5 linked regions of the Cricetulus griseus genome follow. The protein of the gene in region 1 interacts with the protein of each later gene in a pairwise test. Links are inferred from orthologs where the notes say so. Each region holds a gene or a part of one and is shown in the gene's direction. Other genes may lie near its edges. The genes, in order: Usp25, Syk, Tnks2, Rad23b and Rad23a.

What was found.
Region 2: the proteins of Usp25 (region 1) and Syk interact in binary tests that used the Homo sapiens proteins (3 or more experiments, as listed by UniProt). The link is inferred for Cricetulus griseus from reciprocal best matches to the Homo sapiens genes USP25 and SYK.
Region 3: the proteins of Usp25 (region 1) and Tnks2 interact in a two-hybrid assay, tested with the Homo sapiens proteins (2 studies listed by BioGRID and IntAct). The link is inferred for Cricetulus griseus from reciprocal best matches to the Homo sapiens genes USP25 and TNKS2.
Region 4: the proteins of Usp25 (region 1) and Rad23b interact in binary tests that used the Homo sapiens proteins (3 or more experiments, as listed by UniProt). The link is inferred for Cricetulus griseus from reciprocal best matches to the Homo sapiens genes USP25 and RAD23B.
Region 5: the proteins of Usp25 (region 1) and Rad23a interact in binary tests that used the Homo sapiens proteins (3 or more experiments, as listed by UniProt). The link is inferred for Cricetulus griseus from reciprocal best matches to the Homo sapiens genes USP25 and RAD23A.

Annotation. Positions count from the first base shown.
Region 1 is NC_048597.1:18,265,026-18,270,582, reverse strand, and holds the start of Usp25 (ubiquitin carboxyl-terminal hydrolase 25), read left to right. Parts: upstream 1-2,281; 5' UTR 2,282-2,395; coding exon 2,396-2,440; intron 2,441-5,557. UniProt on the Homo sapiens protein: Deubiquitinating enzyme that hydrolyzes ubiquitin moieties conjugated to substrates and thus, functions in various biological processes including inflammation and immune response.
Region 2 is NC_048596.1:271,533,402-271,538,679, forward strand, and holds the start of Syk (tyrosine-protein kinase SYK), read left to right. Parts: upstream 1-2,075; coding exon 2,076-2,489; intron 2,490-3,741; coding exon 3,742-3,902; intron 3,903-5,278. UniProt on the Homo sapiens protein: Non-receptor tyrosine kinase which mediates signal transduction downstream of a variety of transmembrane receptors including classical immunoreceptors like the B-cell receptor (BCR).
Region 3 is NC_048596.1:24,908,536-24,913,292, reverse strand, and holds part of Tnks2 (poly [ADP-ribose] polymerase tankyrase-2), read left to right. Parts: intron 1-950; coding exon 951-1,170; intron 1,171-4,580; coding exon 4,581-4,690; intron 4,691-4,757. UniProt on the Homo sapiens protein: Poly-ADP-ribosyltransferase involved in various processes such as Wnt signaling pathway, telomere length and vesicle trafficking.
Region 4 is NC_048595.1:88,474,754-88,479,510, reverse strand, and holds part of Rad23b (UV excision repair protein RAD23 homolog B), read left to right. Parts: intron 1-970; coding exon 971-1,098; intron 1,099-2,635; coding exon 2,636-2,771; intron 2,772-3,738; coding exon 3,739-3,866; intron 3,867-4,757. UniProt on the Homo sapiens protein: Multiubiquitin chain receptor involved in modulation of proteasomal degradation. Binds to polyubiquitin chains.
Region 5 is NC_048596.1:159,533,020-159,536,576, forward strand, and holds part of Rad23a (UV excision repair protein RAD23 homolog A), read left to right. Parts: intron 1-681; coding exon 682-843; intron 844-985; coding exon 986-1,167; intron 1,168-1,292; coding exon 1,293-1,348; intron 1,349-1,486; coding exon 1,487-1,614; intron 1,615-1,833; coding exon 1,834-1,912; intron 1,913-1,999; coding exon 2,000-2,133; intron 2,134-3,557. UniProt on the Homo sapiens protein: Multiubiquitin chain receptor involved in modulation of proteasomal degradation. Binds to 'Lys-48'-linked polyubiquitin chains in a length-dependent manner and with a lower affinity to 'Lys-63'-linked polyubiquitin chains.

The DNA of each region.
Region 1 (5,557 bases):
TAGAGACAGGATTGCCCATTAAGTCCTAAGGATTTGGTAGAACTAAGAACTAGTGGTTAGCTGCTCTGCTTCTCTGATCTTTCCGAATTTACCTGACTATATCTGACTCAGTTTTTTTTTTTTTAATTATTAAGACCAATTAGAATTTGTGCAACTGTCAGGTACACAAAGTTTGAAGATGAGTCAGTCCTCATTATAAGTTTTTATATTAATTTATCTTAATTCTCAAGTTTCTGTTCTCCATTTTTTACAACTGCAAGCTTTCTAAAAAGAAACATATGCATTAACCTGAAATTTTTACCTCAAAACCACATAGTTAGACAGTTGACAATGTGCTAAAAAAGAAAACATGGAGTAAGAAACCTTTAGAAATGAGCTGGATATGAATGCTGCAAATGGGTCCTCAAACTTTTCATCTATTTAGCACTAGGGATTTTAAAAACTAATGCAAAAGAATGGAACTCTGAGGGTCATTGTACTGCCAAAGTCTTGAAATTAAAGTATAACATCTGTCAATAGTTCTAAAAAACACTTTAATAGTTTAACATTAATTCTAACTTTTTTTGGTATAGCCATACTAAAGGTCAAACATAGAGCCTTGTGCTTCCGTGCTCTCTAGGGTTGAGATGTATCTTTAGTCTCAGTTACATCCATAATTTCAAATGGAAGGATTTTCTAAGGCTGTCTATTCTATAGAGAACCATGAAGCTGCTCTGCAAACGAAGAGAAGCCGAACTGTGGTCCCCAACTGTGGAGAAGCAGCATAGCTCAAGTTTATTCTCAGACAGACCCACGCTCTCTGGGTCTCAACACCCTCAGAGATAATCCATTTGTGGAATTGTTGCATTATCCCTAAAATTCTTTGCTTCTAACCATTTCACAACTTTTATATTCTAGCAAGGGTGTTGGATCATTAATGAAGTAAAAATATAATTTATCAACCTAATGTAACAAACAAAAGGAGTCAAGGGAAAAATATCACAAAAGAAGGTTGAAGACACCCAAAAGACAGAAAACATGGGTAAAAGGAAAAAGAGTTATTACAAGGCCTTTTCCAGTTACTATGATTGTACAAAATCTGGTATTTCATGGATCCTTTACCAAGCTTGCTTTCCTTGCCATGGATTAAATTATATCCCGATTTGTATGTGTATTGTGTTATTGTTTTTGCCACCAATACAATGTCTCTGGTCCGCACCCTCACTTCTGTCCCTCGGTTAGCGGGTGCAGTTGAAGACATTTTATTGTCTTCAGATTGCTTTCTCGTTGTTAGGCTTTTCTTACAGTACCGTTTACAGTAGAATACTCCACACATGGTTGTTAATCGTTTGTTTAATTTGGCAACAGGAATAGTAGAATTATGCACCATCTAGGCAGTGATTCTTTCATAATGTTGTTTGCCTTATGTCCATTTATATTCTCTTCAGTAAATAAACCTTAAATCCCCAGAGCCTAGCAGTGACTGGCACACATTCCAGGACATGGAATAGACACGGAATGTCAATACTGATGTATGTAACGATTAGCTAAGGAGACAACCCAGAACTTCTAACAGCCCTCTGCTTATTTGACTTTTTTTTCTTTTTCTTTTTTTCTCTTCCAGCAAGTTCATTGCTTGTGAAATTCCTCGAAAGGCGTGGGTGACATAGGAAGTAGCTGGAGTTCTGGGCCCAGCCGGGTTTGGGGACCTTAGAGGCAGGGAGGGACATTGTTTATTTTGGAAACATTGTGACAGAGGGCGAGCAGGTAAACCAACTCAGCCTTGGGGGTCAGCGCGTTAGAGCTCAGGGAAAGCCAGTCACCTGCTGGATGGATGGGCGGTTCCGGAGGCCGGCCCGTGCGGTGGGCGGGGCCTAGGCGGCAGGCGGGGCCCTCTAGTGGGCGGGGCAGCGTCGGGGCCCCACCCTCAGCCCCCGCAGGTCACAATGTAGGGTTAGGACGGGTGGGGCGGGGCCGCGTGGGGGTGGGGCCGGCGGGCGGGCGGGGCGGTGACGGCGGCAGGGGCGGGCGGGAGGCGGAGTCGCGGCGGCTGGAGGACAGCGCCATTCTGGCCGGCCGCTCCCTCCGTCCGCTCGCCAGCGGCCCGCAGTGGTCCCCGGAGCCCTCAGGCGAAGCCGAGCGCGAACGCGTGACGCGGCCCCGCTTGCTCCCGCTCGCTCGCTCGCTCGCGCTTTCCCTCGCCTGCGCCCATGGGCCGGGCCGCGCGGCGAGCGGCGCTGAGGAGGGGCCGCGGAGGACCTGAGGCGGCCGCGGTGGCGCTCTCCGGCGGCGTCTCGCCGCCGCCGCCACCGCCATCGCCTTCGCGCCCGGCTGGCGGGGACGCCGTCCTCCGGGGCTGTCCGCGCCGCTGCCCCCGGCCCGGCAGAGCACGGCAGGCGGGATCGCCGCGGGGGCCATGACCGTGGAGCAGAATGTGCTGCAGCAGAGCACGGCGCAGAAGGTGAGCCGCCGCTCCTCCTCCTCGACGGGCCGCGTGGCCTCCCCGCCCGGCTCGGCCATCCCGGGGCGTCGTGCTCGGTCCCGGTCCCGGTCCCGGTCCCGCGGGGCTGCGTGCGGAGCGGGGTGTGTAGCGAGAGGCTTCCCGTGCCCACTCCCTTCTGCAGATTGCTCGCCCATAACCGACGGCGGCCGCGTCCCCAGAGTGACCCCCCACATTCCTTCAGTGCGCTGCCAGGCTTTGTAATTAAACTTTTCCCCCCTTCGCTTCCTTTCCCATTCCCCTTTCTTCCTCAAGAATGTCACTTGTCACCCGCTCTGGACAGTTTCTCTTTCGGAAGTGGTGTTATTCCAGGCCTGCTGGTCTCAAGAAAGAAAGAAAAAAGAAAAAATCCCCCACACCGAGTTACCTGCCGGGTCAGGTGCATCGACCCAGGGTGGACTCTATACAAGTAGAAAGGTTTGGTTGGTTATTACTCTTTTGTTTCTTTCTTTTTTCTCCTGAATATTGAAACTCTCTCTCAGGACAGGAGACCTTCATGGCTGTTATTGAAATCTTTTGTCCCCTAAGTTTGACCTTGCTCCCGTGCGTTCACCCTTTTCTCTCGAATCAGCTAGACACTTACTTAGGGGGATCGTCACATCTTGCTTTCAGAATAGCAACTTGCTATTCTAGATTTTGCTTGAAGAATTTTAAATGCTCCATCATAGCCTGCTCCGCGCCCGGAAGAGTAGTTGGTCATGACTTGTTCTGCCTCTCACCGCCCCCCCCCCTTAGTGCTGTGAAGAGAGCAGTTTGAGCACAAGGGAAACATTGGCTTAGTCGTATTCGAATTGTAGGGGCAATTAGGTTTACAGTGAACAGCCAAAGCCGCCTTTGGCTCATCTGTGTGAGTAATGGATGCCACACCCTGCTGTAGTTTTGACTCACCATACTTGCAGCCTACCTGTGCCTGTCTTTAAAGTAAGGCCGGCTGTATTAAAATAGACAAATATGTACAAACAGCCTGCTCTTTTCTTTTGCACGGAGAATAGTTTTAGATTTTATATTACCTGAGATAATAAAGATGTTGGAGAATTTTGGAAAGCAGCGATAGTGCTTTGTTGTTTCAGGCACTTCTGCTAAAGTTGCCTTTGAAGCCTGTTTTAGTTGACGTTACTTGTAAATTGAGATTATTGCAGACTGTAATGTACTTTGTGGCAAGACAAGTCAAGACAATAATGGATGAAAGAGTTTGCCTTCTAATCCTGTATGTCCTATCTTGAACACTATAATTTTTAGATTTTGATCTTGAGTATGTGCTGGAGTTATGACTGGAAGGTCATGTGATCTCAGGAATACTAGGCAATAGACTCAGTATCGTTTTATTTATATTTGTTTTGCATTTGGAATTTCTTTTTAAATTTTAAATTGGGAAATGTTGCTATTCCTAGCTTCTCTTAAACTTTAAAATGACAATGAATTTATTGTTTCTGGCTTTTGTCATTGTTTTGACTAAGCTGCTTCTTTTCACAGAGTCAGGTAACTATCTTGATGGGTCAGAACTCTGTACATAAAACTGTCGAATCAAGAATCAAATTGCTGGAAGTGATCTTGGTTATTCCCAAAGAGAATATTCTCTAGTTCAATATATTCATGTTATAATGCTGTGTTTTTTTTTTTTTTTTGTTTTTTGCAACACATATTAAGTAGGTTAGATTATTTCATTGACATTGGGGACTGTTTTTAGAGCAACATCATATTGTTTTATACATCCATCATATTTACATTTAATGGTGTTGGTGATTGAACCCAGGGTCTCATGTCTGCTAGTCAAGAACTGTACCAACTGTACTATGTCTGTAGATTTCTAAATGTGTTTCTTTCCCTTGTTAATACACCGTTACTTTGTTATCACCACTAGAACTGGTTCAAACAATATGGTTATAAATACTTGAAATAATCTAGTTCAAAGTTGAAGTCTTAAAACTATGCTAGGAACTAGGAAGTATACGTCACTCTAGGAAGTAGGACATGAACTTCAAATGTAAGAAGAAACAAAAGTGAAACCGATTTCACTTAGTAGCTTCATGGACTGTCAAGAAAAGGAAGGATGTTTGGAGCATACTGCCGTGCTGACAGAATTTTAACCCGTTTTCTCTTCTAAAGAGTATGCTGGTCTGTTGACACATTTTAAGGAAGTGGCTATTAGAGTTGTTGCAATTGTTGTCTGTGTTTTTTTCCTCTTTTACTGTAAAGAACTGTTAAGATTTTTTTTTAAAGCTACCACCCACAAAACTTTAAGTGTTTTGTTTACCTACTAAGTAACTCGTGACAATGCAATAGGAAGAGGCAAGGGGCCTTGTCTTCCCTTTTTGTGTTGTCTGCTTAATTGCTGAAGTTTGCCCAAGCTAGGGAGTTTGGAAATGTTTGAAAAGTGCAGTGGGAGTAGATTTTCTGAGATTGATACATTAGAGGTGAGCATTTGGCAGCACATGGAGTCCAGTTGAACCTGCTGTTATTTCTTTTTGGACCTGTCTGGTCAGCCCTTGTGTTGGATAGTAACCTCCGAGGAGGATCTTTAGATGGCAGAAGAAATTAGATACATAAATTCAAGTTCCACACACAGGTTCCTTAGGGGAGGAGGACTGGGAACCTCCTCCCAGTAAAAAAGGTGCTTCCAGGTGAGCAGGATTCCCCTTACTTGAAAGTATCCTGGTGAGTGAGTCGCCTGCACTGTTGCTCAATAGGGCTTGGACTTGTTCCTGCACGCAGTAGGGCTCAGTAAATGTTTGACAAATGGATTTGTAAGTGAATGGTTCTTAGAAGGGAAGCGAGCACAGTGAATACTTAGCCTCCCAAGAAAGAACTGACATGCAGTCACTGAGAAACAATGAAAGCTTGAAAGAGCATCCAGGCTAGGAAAAGAAGCAGTGGAAGAGAAAGACAGGATGTGGGCTAGGTCTAACTCACCCTTCTGTGACCTTGGGCAACCCATTAAATGTCTCTTAAGTCTTCTTGTAAAGCTTTAAGCTGTGTGTGCACATGAGACACTCCTTCAGATCTGAGTGCTCAGTGGAGCCAAGCAAGCATTTATTTATTTTTATTTTAATGTAGCATGAGGATATGTAGAAGCAAAAA
Region 2 (5,278 bases), on another chromosome or scaffold:
GTGTGTATGTGTGTGTTGTGTGTGTATGTGGGTGTGGTGTGGTGTGTGTGAGTGTGTGTGTGTGTGTGCTGTGGTGTGTGTGTGTGTGTGTGTGTGCTGTGGTGTGTGTATGTGTGTGTGTTGTGTGTGTATGTGTGTGTGTGTTGTGGTGTGTGTATGTGTGTGTGTGTTGTGGTGTGTGTATGTGTGTGTGTTGTGGTGTGTGTATGTGTGCATGCTGTGGTGTGTTATGTGCTCATGCTGTGGTTGATACAAATCTTTTGACTTATATCTTGAAGCCAAGATATTTTAAAAATAGGTTGGTTTAATCTAGCAGCTTTCGTAATCAAATGTCTCTCAGTAGTGTTAGTATTTGCTCACTAACTTTCAAAAAATCTAAAGACAAGCTGCACGGTGGTTGTGCACACCTTTAATCCCAACACTCAGGAGGCAGAAGCAGGTGGATCTCTGTGAGTTGGAGTTCAGCCTGTTATACAGAGCGAGTTTCAGGACAGGCTCCAAAGCTACACAAAGAAACCCTGTTTTGTTAAAAAAAAAAAAATCTAAAGACAACACAATAAATAAAACCAACTCTCTCTTGGTTTTCCTGGTGATGGTACTGGCAGGAGCCACATTTATCACGCCAACTCTGGCAAGTGTCTGGGTCCGTGCAGCCACTGAGTGGTAGCAGGACCTCTGCAAAGAGCCACATCGTTTTTGCCACTAACACTGAGTCAGGAAGCTGTCTCTTAAAGGAGCCGCACCTCTACTCCCACCAGCAAACAGAGCCCACCTAAGAAAATGCTGCTACCAAGAAGCCCTGCTTGACTGTTCTTTCGTGTGTTTAGAATCCTTTTTTTTTAAAGCTTTCTTGAGTTTTATGTGCAACTTTGTGCCAAACATTTGTCCACCATATGTAAATGGACATTTTTCTCCTGCCTGCCTGTTTGCAAATACCCAGTGTTCGATTCCCAAATAATTGACCTGGAGGCTTAATTACTTATAAATGTTCAGCCAATAGAAACGTCTGACTGCAAAAGCCTGTGCTCTGAGGTGTGATTCTCCTGTTTGGCTGTATGGGCTTGGGGTGTGGCTCAGTTGTAGAGTATTTCCCAGCATGTATGAAGCCCTTGGTTACACCCCAGCCTAACATAAACTAGGTGTGGTTTTCATGCCTCTGATCTCACACTGGGGAAGTAGAGGCAGGAGGATCAGAAGTTGAAGGTTATCCTTAGCTGCCTAATGAGTTCAAGGTCAGCAAAGGCAATATAAGAACCAAGAGCTAGATAGGTAGGTAGGTAGATAGATCAATATCATCTGTCTTTATTTTTAGTGTGATCTGTGCCTCCTGAGGCCATCGAGGGCTTTGAGTCCTTGCTGGTTCTGTCCCATGGACCACTGTTCACATTCAGGGTGTGCCCTGAGCACTGTGTCAAAAGACTACTGTGCACTTCTCTTTTTCTAGGTGTCTTAGTTTTTTAGTTTGTTTGTTTGCTTGTTTTTGTTTTGGTTTTGGTTTTGGTTTTTTGGTCCATTATCATCAATGGTGGGGAGCATGGCGGTGTACAGGCAGACATGGTGCTGGAGCTGAGAGTGTACATCTTGCAGGCAACAGGAAGTCAACTGACTGTCACACTGAGGGAAGCTTGAGAAAAGAGATCTCAAAGTCTGCCCCCACAGTTACACCCTTCCTCCAACAAAACCACACCCACTCCAATAAGGGCAAACCTCCTAATAGTGCCACTCCCTTTGGGGACCATTTTCTTTCAAACCACCACACTGTGTTTCTTCTTAGAACTCTTTTTTTTTTTCACTAGAAAAAATAATAGTGAGTTGGGTCACCTTTGTCAAAGGCCATGGAGTTGGTTAACTAACCACAGGATGTTCTGGGAAACTGGAAATTAGATGTCAGGACCATGCACGAAATAGGGTGGTGTGTCCATTCTAAACTAGAAAGGCTTATGTCCCTGTGGAATAGGCCCTGGTGGGCTTAGTCAGTGCCCCTTGCTAGTTGGATTCCTCACTGGGGCTCACTCATCTTTGTTGTCCCCAGGTGCTTTCCCACATACCTGCTGGAATTCTGAAGAGGGGCAGACATGGCAGGCAATGCGGCAGACAGCGCCAACCACCTGCCCTACTTTTTTGGCAACATCACTAGGGAAGAGGCTGAAGACTACCTGGTCCAGGGAGGCATGACAGATGGGCTCTACCTGCTGCGCCAGAGTCGCAATTATCTGGGTGGTTTCGCTTTGTCAGTGGCATACAACAGGAAGGCGCACCACTACACCATTGAGAGGGAACTTAATGGTACCTATGCCATCTCCGGTGGCAGGACCCATGCCAGCCCGGCAGACCTCTGCCAGTACCACTCCCAGGAATCTGATGGCCTCATCTGCCTCCTCAAGAAGCCCTTCAACCGGCCTCCGGGGGTACAACCCAAGACTGGACCCTTTGAAGACCTGAAGGAGAACCTCATCAGGGAATACGTGAAACAGACCTGGAACCTTCAGGTGAGTCTGGTGGGCACTGCTCCCTGAGACCATGGAGCCCTGTCCTAGCATCACCCAGAATCCTTTGCATCCTTTACAGGAAGACTGAGACAGCATGGTGGTTGAGTTTCTGGTATGTTCCAGATCCCTGTGTGGCCACGCCCCTCACTGCCTTTGTTTCCCACTCCATCTGAGCATGTAGTCAGAGCCCAGTCTTCACATTCCCCTCAGCAGTCCATTTTCCTTCTGTGAGAAGGCTGTGTTTTCAAATATATATATATGTGTGTGTGTGTGTGTGTGTGTGTGTGTGTGTGTGTGTGTGTGTAGTCAGTAATCAAACTCTGGCTATTCATTACCAAGAAGATCTTTTTCAGTCTCTCTGAGAAAGATAGGGAAATCAGTCCTCTCTACTATTAATGGTACTGTTTTTATTTCCACCTTTTCTCCAGGTGGTCCAGGCTGCTCACCTGTGACTCCTCTGATGGCATTTCCTGTAGGTGTGTGTGTTTGGGGCGGGGGGGAAGATGGGAGTGAGGACACAGCTGAATCCTGACAGACAGAAAGCCACAGATGCCTGCCTCTAACACAACTTTTTTTTTTTTGTTTTTGTTTTTGTTTTTTTGGGACAGGGTTTCTCTGTGTAGCTTTGGAGCCTATCTTGGCACTCACTCTGGAGACCAGGCTGGCCTCGAACTCACAGAGATCCGCCTGCCTCTGCCTCCCGAGTGCTGGGATTAAAGGCGTGTGCCACCAATGACAGCCACAATTTCTTTGAAAAGTTTTCTTTGGTTAGAGTCAGTCTCTCTTCCACCATGTGAGTCCCAGGAATGAGGCTGAAATGGGCAGCGAGCACTTAGCCTGCTGAGCTACCTCTCTTCCTCGAACTCAAACACATCTCAAGCCTTCTTGCCCATTATGAAATGACTCTAGGTTTTCCCACAGAACCTAGCTTTCGTATATAGCTGTCTTTGTCAGATCCATGCTCTGACTCCAGGTGTATATGACCTACATATGCAAATTCTTGTCTGGCTTTTCAAGGAATCTTCCCTTCATTACAAAATGCATTCATTTATTGATACACGTGAAGACATGCAAGTAATATACAAAGATCTTATTGGTTCCCTTATTTTAGGGAATGAATAAAAGAAGGATGAGTGATGGGAAGAGTGTGATGGGAAGAGTAGAGTTTGGTCCTGTTTTGCTGCATAGAACTTGGGACACAGATCTAACTTCTCTGTACCTGGCCAGCTCACTCTCTCTCCATCCTCTGCAGGGCCAAGCTCTGGAACAAGCCATCATCAGCCAGAAGCCCCAACTGGAGAAGCTGATTGCCACCACTGCCCACGAGAAGATGCCCTGGTTCCATGGCAACATCTCCAGAGACGAATCAGAGCAGACAGTCCTCATAGGATCAAAGACCAATGGGAAATTCCTGTGAGTATCGTGTCTTCCCCCTACTTCCTAACTTCAGGGCTGCTCACCTAGGGGTAGCAGCTTCCCCAAGAATAGAACCCAGGTGGCCCCAGGAAGGTGTCACACATCCCCATTTGCCAATGAGAGTTGGTGTCACTTGTGACCCAGCATGTGTTTTATCTAGTCTGAGCATAAAGTGTGATGATGTGTTCAGCCACATGAGGGTTGAGTTTGTTATCCAACGTGGTGGGCCCAGAAGTGCTTTGGGTTGGGGATATTTTCAGATACAGGAATATTTGCACATATGTAAAGATATGTCACGAGCTCTTGCCCAAGCCTGCACTAGAAATTCCTTGACCTTTTAGAAACACTTTATGCTTATGATATCTAGGCAATTTCTTGTGTGTGTAGGATAGCATGCTCACATATGTAAAAGTGTGTGAAGTGTATACACATGCGTGTGGAGGTCAGAGGTGGACACTGGTGCCTTATCAGTTGCTTTCCACCTTATTCATCCGAGTATCTCGTTCTCATTTATTATCATGTCTGTTCATGTTGGTGGGGGAGTGCATAGATGCCGAAGTGCAACCTCCATGGAGGGCAGTTCTTTCTTTCACCTTTACATGGTTCTAAGCATTAAACCCAGGTCATCGGGCTTGGGCGCAGCCATCTTTACCCAATGAGTTAGCTTGCTGGCTCTTCCTTCCCAGTTTTGAGAAACAGTCTCTCCCTGAACCTGGAGCCTGCTGCTTTGTCTATAGTGACTTGCCTGCAGCCCCCAGGGTTCCTCTGGTCTGTGCCGAGATTACAGGCACTCACTGCAACACCCAGATTTTTACATGGGTTCTTGGGATCAGTTTGGGACATCGTGTGTTATAAACACTTCACCAACTGACCATCGTCCCAGGCCCCTAGCTAGCGTCAAGGTAATTTTTCCCACAGTATTTTAGTGTTTCTGGAGTAGGGTTGCTCAGCCTGAATTCTGCTTCACATGGCAGACATGGTGTACAATGTGGTCACGGAACAAATGTAAGACAGCACAGTTTGTTCGCTTCGATCTGCCCCCAGATTTTGGACTTCTGTTTGTGCTTGGAACTGTGTGCTAACGCAGACATTCAGGAGCAAAGTCCTGGGAGCTGCTTACACCAAACCTGGGCATAGATATCTGAGCAGAAATGGGTCTGTGGGCTTCAGCCTGTACAGCTCAGCTCATGAAGGCTAGGATCCTGGGTTCCTGGCCTGGGCATCTGCAGTGGCCCTGTGTGAGCCAAAATTCAGAAGGTCCCAGGGCAGTGGTACAGCTAGGCAGGGTCTGTAGTCCACAGAAGCAAGGGGTATCCTGGTGAGTGTAAGCCTCTTCTAAAGATGTGCCTGCCAAGGTTGTGCTGGGAGAATGC
Region 3 (4,757 bases), on another chromosome or scaffold:
AGTACTCGGGAGGCAGAGGCAGGCAGATCTCTGTGAGTTCGAGGCCAGCCTGGACTACAGAGTGAGTGCCAGGATAGGCTTCAAAGCTACACAGAGACACCTGTCTCAAACAAACCAAAAAACCAAAAATTTAAAAAAAAAAAAAAAAAAAAAAAAAAGGAAAGATGCAGCTAGGTATATTGGTGCACTCCTTAAAACCCAGCACCTGGGAGTTAGAGGCAGGTGAGTTTTTATGAGTTCAAGGCCAGCCTGGTCCTCAAAAGTGTATTTCCAGAAAGGTAGCCAAGGCTGCATAGTTGAGATCCTGTTTTTAAAAAACAGAAAAATACCTCAGCACTCAGGAGGTACAGGCAGGTGGTTCTCTGTGAGTTCAAGGCCAGCTTGGTCTCCAGAATGAGTTCTAGGACAGCCAGGGCTGTTACACAGAGAAACTGTGTCTCCAAAAAAGGAAAAATGCAACTATGCAATGTGTGACAATTCAGTCAATGATGGGCTACATTTTTGGCAGTGGTTCCATAAAATTATAATGTAAGGACTATGGATATAATATCTCAGTTGGTAGAACCTGGCTAGCGTTTACAAGGCCCTGGGATTTATTCCCAGCACCACATGGACAGACTTAGTAGTACATACTTACATTCTAATTATGTAGGAAGAAAGAGGCAGGAAGATCAGTGGTCAAGGCCAGCTTCAACTACAGAATAAGTTTCAGAAGACCAGCCTGTGTGCTGCATAAGACTATCTAAAATGATAATTATATAGCTGAAAACTTACTATAGTTTTTCTGTTCTTTGATGCATACTTACGAATGTGTTATAGCTGCCTATGGTATTTAAACAGTAATGACAATCAGGTGAGTTAATATGAGATTATTTTCTTTGCTCTGGTTATTTTCTCAATGACAAAATACCCACTAATATCCCCCGCCTTTTTTTTTCCCTCATGCCTAGCATGGTGCAGACCCTACAAAGAAAAACCGAGATGGTAATACTCCTCTGGACCTTGTTAAAGATGGAGACACAGATATCCAAGATCTACTTAGAGGTGATGCAGCTTTGCTAGATGCTGCCAAGAAGGGTTGTTTAGCCAGAGTGAAGAAATTGTCTTCTCCTGATAATGTAAATTGCCGTGATACCCAAGGTCGACATTCTACACCTTTACATTTGGCAGGTAATGAGTGAATCTAGATTTAGCCTGGTGACATCTAAGATTATTTTATCCCTTTCATCATGTAGGTTCCAGGAATCAAACTCAGGTTGTTAGGCTTGGCATCTGTGCCTTTCCCTGCTGAGCTATCTTACCAGCCCTAAGATTCATTTTTACTCTTGAGTAAAATATTTCCTCTAAGTAAACTTGAAAGATGCAAGTCAAATTATCTACCAGAGCTTTCATCCTGTCCTAGTATGTGTGTTTGTACAGAGCCATTGTGTTTATACATGAAGCTGTTGCCAAATTTCACTTCCTTTGTCACTGTTTTACATTCAGTAAAAACAGTTGCCAACTCTGGTGGTGCAAGCTTTTAATTCCTGCAGAAGCAAGCAGGCAGATCTGTGTGAGTTTGAGGCCAGCCTGGTCTACATAGTGAGTTCCAGGACAGCCACAGCTACATAGTGAGACCAGTAAGAACAGTTGAAATAGGCTCTGCCAATCACTTTAAACTTTGGAATCCTTTCTTTGAGGTCACTGCATTGATTCATGTTTGAACAGAGTTATGAAAAACTTGCCTGTATAAACCAGCCTTCTTCATAGAAGACTATAAAGTTTTCATTTTCTAATGAAAGCTAAGTGTAAGCCCGGGAAAAAGAATCAATGTCTTCCCCTTATAGGTTCTGGGGATCAAATTTAGATGATCAGGCCTGTCAGCAAGTGAAGTGCACCAGCTCCCCAGTAATGACCCAAAGACTCACTAATTAATTCTGAAAGCTAGGCCTTACTTGAGGCTTGTTCCCAACTAGCTCTCATAACTTAACTAACCATTTATGTTGCTCTGCAGTCTTGTTACCTCTCCTCCATGCTGTGTTTCGTTCCCATCCCTGCTTCACATCCCCAGCACCTCCCGCTTACCAGTCTCTGCCTGAGTTCCTGTCTCTGCCCAGAAGTCCTGCCTAGCTATTGGCCATTCAGCAGGTGTGCCTTGACAGAGAAACATCTTCACAGCGTACAAAAAGATTATTTTACAACATGGGTGTTTTGCCTGCGTGGATGTCTGTGTACCACATGTGTGCCGGATACCTGGTGGAGGTCAGGGCATTGGATCCCCTAGAACTGCAGTTAGTTACAAATGCTTACGAGCTGCCTTGTGGATGCTGGGAACCAAATCTAGGTCCTTTGCAAGAACAAGTGCTCTTAACTGCTGAACCATTTCTCCAGCTCTTATCTAGAACATTTGACATTACTAGTTTTTTTTTTTTAAGATTATTTTATGTATATGAGTTCTCTATCAACTTTATGCCAAAAGAGGACATCAAATCCCACTATAGATGGTTGTGAGCCACCAAGTTGTTGCTAAGAATTGAACTCAGGACCTCTGGAAGAGGAACCAGTGCTATTAACAGCTGAGCTATCTCTCTAGTCCTTGACATTACTATTTTAAGTCCACATTGTCTTCGTAAGTTGCAAATACAAATAGATTGGTTTTTGTTTTTTTGTTGTTTATGTTTTTTGTTTCTTTGTTTTTTTTTTTTTTTTTTTTTTTTTTTTGAGACAGGGTTACTCTGTGTACCCTGGCTGTCTTGGAACTATCTCTGTAGGCCAGGCTAGCCTCAAACTCAGAACCCACCAGCTTCTGCCTCCTGAGTGCTGGGATTTAAAGTGTATGCCACCACTGCCTGTTGTTGCAAATACATTTTAAGCACAGAATGTGTCTACTCACTTCTAATAGTGTTAATACTAAACCTTGGGCTGTGAAGAAACTCTGTCATGAAATGTTTGCCATGCAAGCATGGGAACTTGAGTTCACACTCCTGCACTGAGGGGCAAAGATAGAGCATCTCTGCCTCTTGATGGCTACCTGACTAGCTGAATGAGTGGGCTCCATTCTCAGTGAGAGACTGTGCCTCAAATAGTCAAGTGGAGGATCTGTGAGGTGCCTCAGTGGGTAAAGGCATTTATCAGAGAAGCCTGACAAACTGAATTCCATGTCTGGGACCCACAAAGTAAAAGGGAGAGAGTCAACTCCCTCAAGTTTTCTGACCTGTGATGTATACTATAAGTATGCACAGACAATGAGTAATATATGGGGGGGGTGTGCTTGTTTTTTGTTGTTGTTGTGGGGTTTTTTTGTTTTTTGTTTTTAAAGATTTTATTTATTATGTATACAACATTCTGCTTCATGTACATCTACACACCAGAAGAGGACACCAGATCTTATAACGTATGGCTGTGAGCCACCATGTGGTTGCTGGGAATTGAACTCAGGACCTCTGGAAGAGCAGTCAGTGCTCTTAACCTCTGAGCCATCTCTCCAGCCCTGTTGTTGTTGTTTTTAAGTAGAAAACTGCTGGGCCTGGCGAGGCAGGCCTTTAATCACAGTGCTTGGGAGGCAAAAGGAGATGGATCTCTGAGTTGCAGGACAGCCTGATCTAAAGAGTTCTGGAAGACCACATAGAGAAGCCATGTCTTAGGCGACAGATGCAGAGAGCAATAGGGGAAAATACTGTATTTACCTCTGGCGTCTACCTTCACCCATGTATATACACAAATACTACACCTATGACATTCTTAATGCTTTAAATCTTTCTAAGGGATGGCTGATATGTGCACTGATAGACAAAACATTTAAAGCCATTATCATTGTTTTTATATTGGGAAAAATGACATTTACTTCATCTATGATTATGTGTCTAGAGATACTTTGCCATAAGAGAATTCTGAGCTAACTGATAAGATACAGGTTATGTCGTGCTTCAGAGTACTAAATGAGCTTTCTTAATAGTTCTGAGGTTGCTCTACTATATGTGTCCTAAGCACTCTCCTTAGGCTGAGGCATTTCTACAGACTCCTGAGGAAGAATGCCTCCTGTTGTGCAGCTAGATGATTGGGTGCCTGTGAATTTTAGCCCTTGGGATCACACGCCTGAGCTTAGGTTGTTGTATGTAACAGCCATGAAGGTAGGGCCTTTGGTGGGGAAGAAACTGCTCATGGAAGCTGTAGTGTGGCCATTTGAGACACACAGTTTACCCTTTAGTCCATTCATCTTTCCTTGCAAGTGTTCATTGCCACGAGTCATTGGTCTGGTTTAAGGCCTCTGGTTTCTGACTCACCACCCATAATGGGCTCTCTTTGGGCTCCTCTTGGATATTTTGTTGTTGTCCTGTGTCCTAGAGATCCTGCTGTTTTGGAGGTAGGGGAGTTTTAAATGGATAGAGGAAAATCTTTCTATAATTTGCTGGGTCTCCAAAACCAAAAGCTTCTAAAATTTTAGACCAATTGGGTATTTCTTTCCCACAAGACAAAATACTAATCATTTCAGATTTACATAAAATTTAGAAATATCTATTTAAAAACATATAGCTATATGGGTAACACATGATTTTTCTACATTTATAACTGAAAGCAATGTTACTTCTTTCCTGCATTAGCTGGTTACAATAATTTGGAAGTCGCAGAGTACTTATTGCAACATGGAGCTGATGTGAATGCCCAAGACAAAGGAGGACTCATCCCTTTACATAACGCAGCATCATACGGGGTAAGTTCTTCTCAGTTTCCTTTCCAAATTCATGCAGCTTTTCAAAGTGGGTATCAGTGTCACAGTT
Region 4 (4,757 bases), on another chromosome or scaffold:
GTGGAAAAGAGGATAGTTTTAATAGAGGTGAGTCTAGAGAGGGTGTAGCTTTCATTAAGGCAAGATAACATCCATCTGGGAAGATTGATGATAGCCTGTGACCAGTGACTCACAATACAAGTAACTCCATCCTGGGGTGTGAAATTCTATCTTGCTTACCTTTGTTTCTCATCAGTTTGAAAATATAAAGTGTCAAAAGAAAAAATAAAACACAGTGCTATTACACCAGAATTGTTTGAAATGCATAAAAAAAGGACTTGCCTTTTGGTTTTTGTGAGAGAGAATTTATCATCCCATAATGCCATTGAACTTCAGTAGGAAGGCTGACATTAAACTCAGAGAAGCCTTCCAAACAGTGAGATTGCAAGAACAACCCATTTGTTTGTCTCTCATTAACAGGTTGCCTTCTGTGACTTGTGAATTTTTGTATTTGTACCTGATATTTCTACTGTGCTTATAAAACCACCTTATTTTTTGTTGCTTTTTTAAGTTACCACAAACTTAGTGATATAAACCAATTTGTTACCTGGCTATTTTTGTAGGTCAGAGCTTTTGACACTGTTCTTGTTGACTGATACCAAGGAGTCCATAAGACTTTTTGGAGATTAGGAGAACCTAGTTCCTTATCACTTCCAGATTCCAGAAGCTTGCAGACCCTTTCTCCATCTGCAGAGAGAGAGACAACAACAAAGTTACATTCCTCCTTTTGTAACCCTCTTTCTGTCACTCTGTTTTTAAGGATTGTTTTTGATGGCATCAGGCCCACTTCCCTTTGTCACATAATCTATATATTACAGGATCTCGCTGGGGATTAGAACATGAGTATTTTTGGGGGAGGGCATTCTGCCTACTTGAATAAATGTTGACACGGTAGTATATGAAACATAGATATCTTATAGTCAAGAAGTATGGAGAGAATGTTTCTTGAATGTTCATGTACTTATTCCTTATCCCCAACACACCTATTTAGTGACAGGTCAATCTTACGAGAATATGGTAACTGAGATCATGTCAATGGGCTATGAACGAGAGCAAGTAATTGCAGCCCTGAGAGCCAGTTTCAACAACCCTGACAGAGCTGTGGAATATCTTCTAATGGTGAGAAGTGTATTTTACTTTTCATTCTCCTTAATTTCAAACTCTTTCAAGAAATTTTGGTTTTAAAAGATGAGTTAACAGTTCAGTGTTGACTACTATATGCTAGATAGTTTGCGCCCCCCAGGGTTAACATTTTGTGTTGATAAACTGTAACCTTTTGGAAAAGATTCTGAAATGATTTTAATTAGAAAATGCCATGATGGGCCGGGCGTTGGTCGAGACCAGCCTGGTCTCCAGAGGAGTGCCAGGATAGGCACCAAAGCTACACAGAGAAACCCTGTCTCGAAAAACCAAAAAAAAAAAAAAAAGAAAGAAAAGAAAAGAAAATGCCATGACGGTGAGTTACAAAGTGGTTCTTTAGAATAGTGGCTTACACACAGTGAAGCTCTGGAGCCCTAGGGTGTCTTTCTAATGGAATAGTCTGACTTTATAGTGGATTTTAGTTGCTCATATAATCTATTAGGAATTATTTAGAGCAAAATTTTAGTTGTCCTCTGTGAGGAAGCAGCATTAGCATTTTGTTTGAGAATTTGATGGAAGGCTTAGCCTTCAGGGACCTCCGCATCACAAGCAGACGCTTTCAGGGCCTGCAGTGTATGTGCACCATTAGTCACTGCTCACTGCCTGTCTTTCCTAAAGCGAGTCTGCCTCGTGTTTAGTAGGAAATGGACTTATCACCATCTCTTAAAGTCTGAGAATTTGGTGGATTTCTAAATAGGTATAACTGCCATTTGTCTAAATGTTGTACATCAAAATAGAAACTCTGAGGGCACTTTTAAACTGTAATAATTTCTTCTTTTTTTTTTTTTTTTTTTTTCTCGAGACAGGGTTTCTCTGTGTAGCTTTTGGAGCCTATCCTGACACTCAAGACCAGGCTGGCCTCGAACTCACCAAGATCCATCTGCTTCTGCCTCCCGAGTGCTGGGAGTGCGCCACCAATGCCAGGCTAAACTGTAATAATTTCAAGAGAAATTATTGAAACATACAAAAAGCATCATTTGGAATTTAAATGATTGAAATATATTTCATGCCCATTTTGTTAATTTTGAAAGATTTTCTGTGTGGCACTTTCTAGATGATATTTGCTCAGAAACATGAGTCAGTAGATGAGACTTTCTTGCTTGGCCAGCAGTATTCACTCATTCAACTCCACACCCTACCACAAAGAGTCATTCAGAACTGTTGTCCTCTTATCCCAAATGCTCCTAATGTTATAAATACAGCTCTTTGTGTCACTGACTGATGATTTATGAAAGTCCCTGCAGTCAAAAGCCATTTGGAACCCCATGATGAGTGAATATCTTAGTTAAATTTGTAGGGTTTAATTAGACATGGATGTGGTTGTTATTGCACAGTACATCTATCACCGTGGAAAGACCTGTTGAACAGTACTGCCTTACACTACATACAGCATTGAGTTCTACATGTATCTCACACATAGACAGTGATGTTCTGTAAGCCACAACTGTTTTTGCTGTGTATAATATTTAGCCTGTGTGTTTTTGAGTTGTCTTAAAGCTTGAAAATTGTGTTGCAGGGAATCCCTGGAGATAGAGAAAGTCAGGCTGTGGTTGATCCTCCTCCCCAGGCAGTGAGTACTGGAACTCCTCAGTCTCCAGCAGTGGCAGCAGCTGCAGCCACCACAACAGCAACAACAACAAGTAGTGCTGGAGGTAAAGTTACTATTTCTGATGGTGAATCTAAATTCGTTTAATTTGAAGTACTCGAGTGGTAACATTCATTCCCAGAGCGTTTGGATAAGTCTTGCGTTGTGTCTTCCCTCATAGTAGTATGGTAGTGCACATCAGTGTTACTGTGTTGTCAGCTTACTCCACTAGCTGATACTAAGAAAAAATGTTTCATAGTTTGAACTCAGTATTCATTTTGAATGGACAGCTCACTTTTCTAAGAATGCATAATTTTAGGCAGTGTGTGTGGTGCAAGCCTTTAATCCTAGCACCAGGAGGCAGGCAGATCTCTGAGTTTGAGGGAACTTAGTCTACACAGTAGAGTTCCTGGAGAACTGGGGTACATAGAGATTCCCTGTCTCAAAAGGAAAAGGGAAGAGATAGTACAATTTTAAAGCCACCAAAACCTTAGTAGATAGACTGCTAATTTTGAAAAGGCTGTGTTTTGATAATTTCTTGCTCTCATTTTGGCAGTCAGTTGGGGGGTCTGTGTTTTATAGTGGAAAGAGGAGGCACAGCTCTAGCTCAGATTTTAGTATTTCCAACCATCACCTACTAGGTAGCTTAATCTCTAAGTCTCACTTTAATATTACACATAATGCAGAAATAAATACTCATGTAACACATACATACATAAATACATACACACACATGCATGTATGTATGCTTCTTGTGAGCAACTACAATAACATAACCTTTTGTTTTGAAGTAGAACACCAGTTTCTTATGTTTTCTGTAATAGTTCACAGGGCATTGTGGATAAGTTTATCTCTCAGTGTTCTGCCTTTGCTACCAGTATAACTTCTACAGAGTAAAGTAGCACATTGGGGTTTATAGAGTTTGTGACTGTGCCAGAGAACAGAAGTGTTTTCTGTCTGAATGTGTGGCTTCACTACCTCTTTGTTATATGTATTTACCATTTTTTGCTTTAAAATGTTTGCATCTATTTCAGGCCACCCCCTTGAATTTTTACGGAATCAGCCTCAGTTTCAACAGATGCGACAAATTATCCAGCAGAATCCTTCCCTGCTTCCAGCTTTGCTACAGCAGATAGGTCGGGAGAATCCTCAGTTGCTGCAGGTAATGATCCATGTTAACTTGGAAAAGGAGTTGGAATGTTGTTGTACTATGGTTAAACCCAGAGCCTATGTTTTAGATAGGCACTGAAGAACAAGTTGGAATATAGGTTGAATCAAGTTTAATTTGCTCAACTAAATTTGGGAAATGTTTTTATTTCTTCTTTCAGGTTCCTGAGACACAATAACATATTAGAGAAGCTGGCAGGGTGTTTAGCTTTTGTAAATCACTTTTCATAGGCTTACTACTAGTGAGATATACTACCTTTTAGAAAATCTACCTATGGACATATTTCATGCTCAGACCAGGAAGTATTTCAGTTTTGTATACAGAATGGTCTGCTAGTGTGGAAAATAAATTATACATAAACAGGGGCCCTCAGTAGGATTTTTGTTTTGTTTTGTTTTGAGTGGAGTTCTCTTTTCCTGGGGTGTGGGTCAAGACAGGGTTTCTCTGTGGCTTTGGAGGGTGTCCTGGAACTGGCTCTTGTAGACCAGGCTTGGTCTCGAACTCACAGAGATCCTTCTGCCTCTGCCTCCCAAGTGCTGGGATTTAAGCTGTGGGCCACCACCACCTGGCTGGAGTTTTTCTTTTTCTTTTTTTCTTTTTTCTTTTAAGATTTATTTATTGTGTATAATGTTCTGAATGCATATATGCCTGCAGGCCAGAAAAGGGTACCAGATCTCATTACAGATGGTTGTGAGCCACCATGTGGGTGCTGGGTATTGAACTTCAGGACCATCTCTAAGAGCAGCCAGTGCCTTAACCTCTGAGCCTCCTGTGAGTGGAGTAATTTTTTAAGTTTGCATTCTCTCCATTTACCTCTCTGAACGATTGTGCTTCATTAATAATCATCTAAGAAAACACTTTCCTTTCCTCACCTCCCCCCCTTTC
Region 5 (3,557 bases), on another chromosome or scaffold:
TTGTTTTAAGTTCCAGACCAGCCTGAGCTATGTAGTTAGGCCAGCCTGGAGTGCAGAATAAGACCATTTCAAAAAAGGAGGGGGTAAAGGATTTCCTCAATAATTACAGAACAGTTAACTTTTTGTGGCCAGCAGTGGGTATACCCTTTCATTTCCTTTTTACTGTTTCCCTTCTCAACAACATGACATCTGAAATACAAGTTTGCTTTTTTTCTCACATCAAGGTCTTCTCCATGAGAACAGTGACTGAATTCTGTTTTGTTCTGTTCCACAGGCTGTTGTAAAACAGGGTTTGGGATGGAGCTCTTGTAGAACAATTAGGCCACCACAATCACACGCACATACACACACAACGAGCAGCATAAGTGTCTGGCCTGTAATAGATTGCTGTCGACTGGCCACATTGAGTAGGAGTCTCTTATGATTGAGAGCAAAGCTTTTCCCCTAAGGTAAAAGGGTCAGGAAAGGTGTCTTTATTTTATCTGAGACAGTTTCACTATATAGTCCTGGCTAGCCTGGAATTCAAAGTGATCCACTTGTCGTTCCAAAGTACTGGGATTCAATGTGTGCACAACCATGCCTAGACTTCACTGAGGGTATCTTAGAGTGTTAGTGCTATGTGTAAACATACACATCACACTATTAAAGCCGTGTTTTTAATGCCTGTACTCCTTATTCCAGGTGAAGGTGCTGAAGGAGAAGATAGAGGCTGAGAAGGGTAGAGATGCTTTCCCTGTGGCTGGACAGAAACTCATCTATGCTGGCAAGATCTTGAATGATGATGTCCCCATCAAGGAATACCATATAGATGAGAAGAACTTTGTGGTTGTAATGGTGACCAAGGTGGGTAGATTAGCTGGGATGCTGGCAAAGGGCTTGTGTGCCCAGGAGAGATTAGCCATAGGCAGGGTGGGGCTGTGATGGGGCAGGATGTTGAGGCTTGATAGGGATGCTGCTGCCTGATCCCTTTTTCTTGCTGCCACAGGCCAAGGCTGGCCAAAGTACCCCAGCACCCCCAGAGGTCTCACCCACTGCTGCCCCAGAGTCCTCCACACCCTTTCCTCCGGCTCCAACATCAGGCATGTCCCATCCTCCACCTGCCAGCAGAGAGGACAAGAGCCCATCAGAGGAATCAGCTACTGCAACATCTCCAGAATCCATCTCTGGGTAAGGAAGGGGCAGTAGCCTTACCTGTGCCCTGTCCTCTGCACTTTCCAGTGTGGTCCCATGCACTTGTGGGGAGGGCAAGCCACCAGAAGCCAGGGTCCGATTTCTCTCTCTTGAATTTGCAGCTCTGTTCCCTCTTCAGGTAGCAGCGGGCGAGAGGAAGACGCAGCTTCCACATTAGGTGGGTGGGTGGTCCTCAGGGCAGAGGCGACTGGGAGCCCCAGCCATCCGCCTTTGACAGCCTTGTCTGGGTATGGGAGGGTCTGGGAGCAGCCCTTCTGTGCCCCTGGTGACCCAGGCCCTGCTGCTCCCTCCACAGTGACTGGCTCTGAGTATGAGACGATGCTGACTGAGATCATGTCCATGGGCTACGAGCGGGAGCGGGTTGTGGCCGCATTGAGGGCCAGCTACAACAACCCCCACAGAGCTGTGGAATACTTGCTCACGGTGAGGGAGTCTCCAGATCTTGGTGCCTCAACAGGCAATGGAGGTGGAACCTACCCCATAGGCTCATGGGTATCACGTGTTGCCACTGAAGGCTTCTCAAAGAGGCTGTACGAGAGTGTGGAAGGCAGGCATGAGGCCTTCCTGTCTCCTGTCAGGCTGATCAACTGGGAGGGGGAAGTGGGTCTGTTGGAGAGAACTAAAAAGCAGGATCCCTGACAGGGAATTCCCGGGAGTCCTGAGCCGGAACATGGTTCTGTTCAGGAGAGCCAGGTACCAGAACAGCCGGCCGTGGAAGCAGGTGAGTAGGATGGATTTGCACATGTGGGTATCTACAGTAGACACAGGAGCCCTGCAGGGCTCTCACCACACCTCTTCCTGCCACCAGCAGGGGAAAACCCCCTGGAGTTCCTGCGGGACCAGCCCCAGTTCCAGAACATGCGGCAGGTGATCCAGCAGAATCCAGCCTTGCTCCCTGCACTGCTCCAGCAACTGGGCCAGGAGAACCCTCAGCTCTTGCAGGTGCGGCCCAGGGTGAGGGAACTGAGACAGACACCTTTTCTAGTTCTTTAGGGGATCACCCAGGGACATAGCTTTGCTCTGAGAAAGCAGAACTAGCACAGGCCCAGCCCCTTGCTCCCTGATGACGGCAAGGTTATGTGTAGTTGGACTCTCATGAGGTATGGATGTTATTGACATCCACCTGCTGAAGGTCAGGCCCAGAGCAGGTTGCCGTATGTCTGGGTCCTGGACTCTGGTCACAGCATTTTTGAGTGCTTGCTCCCCTTCCTGCTCCTCAGTCCTGGCCTTCTTGATCTGACCTTCACCTTTTGACCCTCTGTATGGTGACCTATCTGAACCTGTGTCACCAGAACCCTTGGAACCCTCTCATCTGAGCTATGAGAGGACTTCCTGGACCGATGAGTTCTTAGGCCCGTTTGATTCTAGTTGTATTTCTGCACTGAGCCTCTGGTAGCCTTGTGGGGACTGTTTCTCTGTTTCTACCCCTATGGCAGCTACTTCTCCCTCCCAGTATCCTGGCACCCTCCTCTCATGTCTCCTAATTCTGCACAGTGCCCCTGGTGAACTGCCCACCAAGAGGCTAGATTGCTGAAAAGGCCCTTTTTAATGTGAAAATAGTCAGAAGTCTGCAGAAACAAACGGTTGCTTCAGAATCTCTGGATTTCCAAGTAGAGTGTATTTAATAGATTCTAGAGCCGAGTGTGACAGTGCATACCTGTAAGCACAGCACTTAGGTGACTGAGGCAGGAGGATCACTGAACTTGAAGACAGCTCCTTCTAATAGTGAAATCATTTCAAAAAAGAAAGAAAAAAGATAAAGGTTGCACAGGCTGAGTGTTACTCAGTAGGGAGTGCTTGTGCTTAGCAGGTTGAGACCTGGGTTTACTTGCAACACCACAAAGAGAAGGACCCAAGCAGCACTGCCTTGTTTGCCACTGTGGCTTCCCACTGCCACAGGAGAAAGGTCTTCCCAGACTTTCTGTGCTGTTCGTGCCACTGAGCTCTCCCACCCCTGGGCATTTTCACTTGGTACTTGTTTTAGCCAGAGGCAAGCCCCCCTCTTCCTGCCCCAGACAGTGGGTCCCTCCCACAAGGCCTCAGTGATTTAACTAGCATATCTGCAATTATTTGATTTGAACTTTTTGTTTTTCTTCAGTCTCACTATATAGGTTAGGCTGAACTATATGGTTTCAAACTCATGGTGATCCTCCAGCTTCAGCCTCCTGAGTGCTGGGATTAAAGGAATGAACTGCCATGCCTAGGTTTGGTATATTTATTTACTTCTTTGTTTGTTTGTTTTATTGAGACATTTAATTGAGACACCATGTAGCCCTGGCTAGCTTGAAACTCCTCTGTAGACCAAGCTGGCCTTAAACTCTGATCCACCTGCCTCTGCCTCCCAAGTGCTGGAATTTAAGGCATGT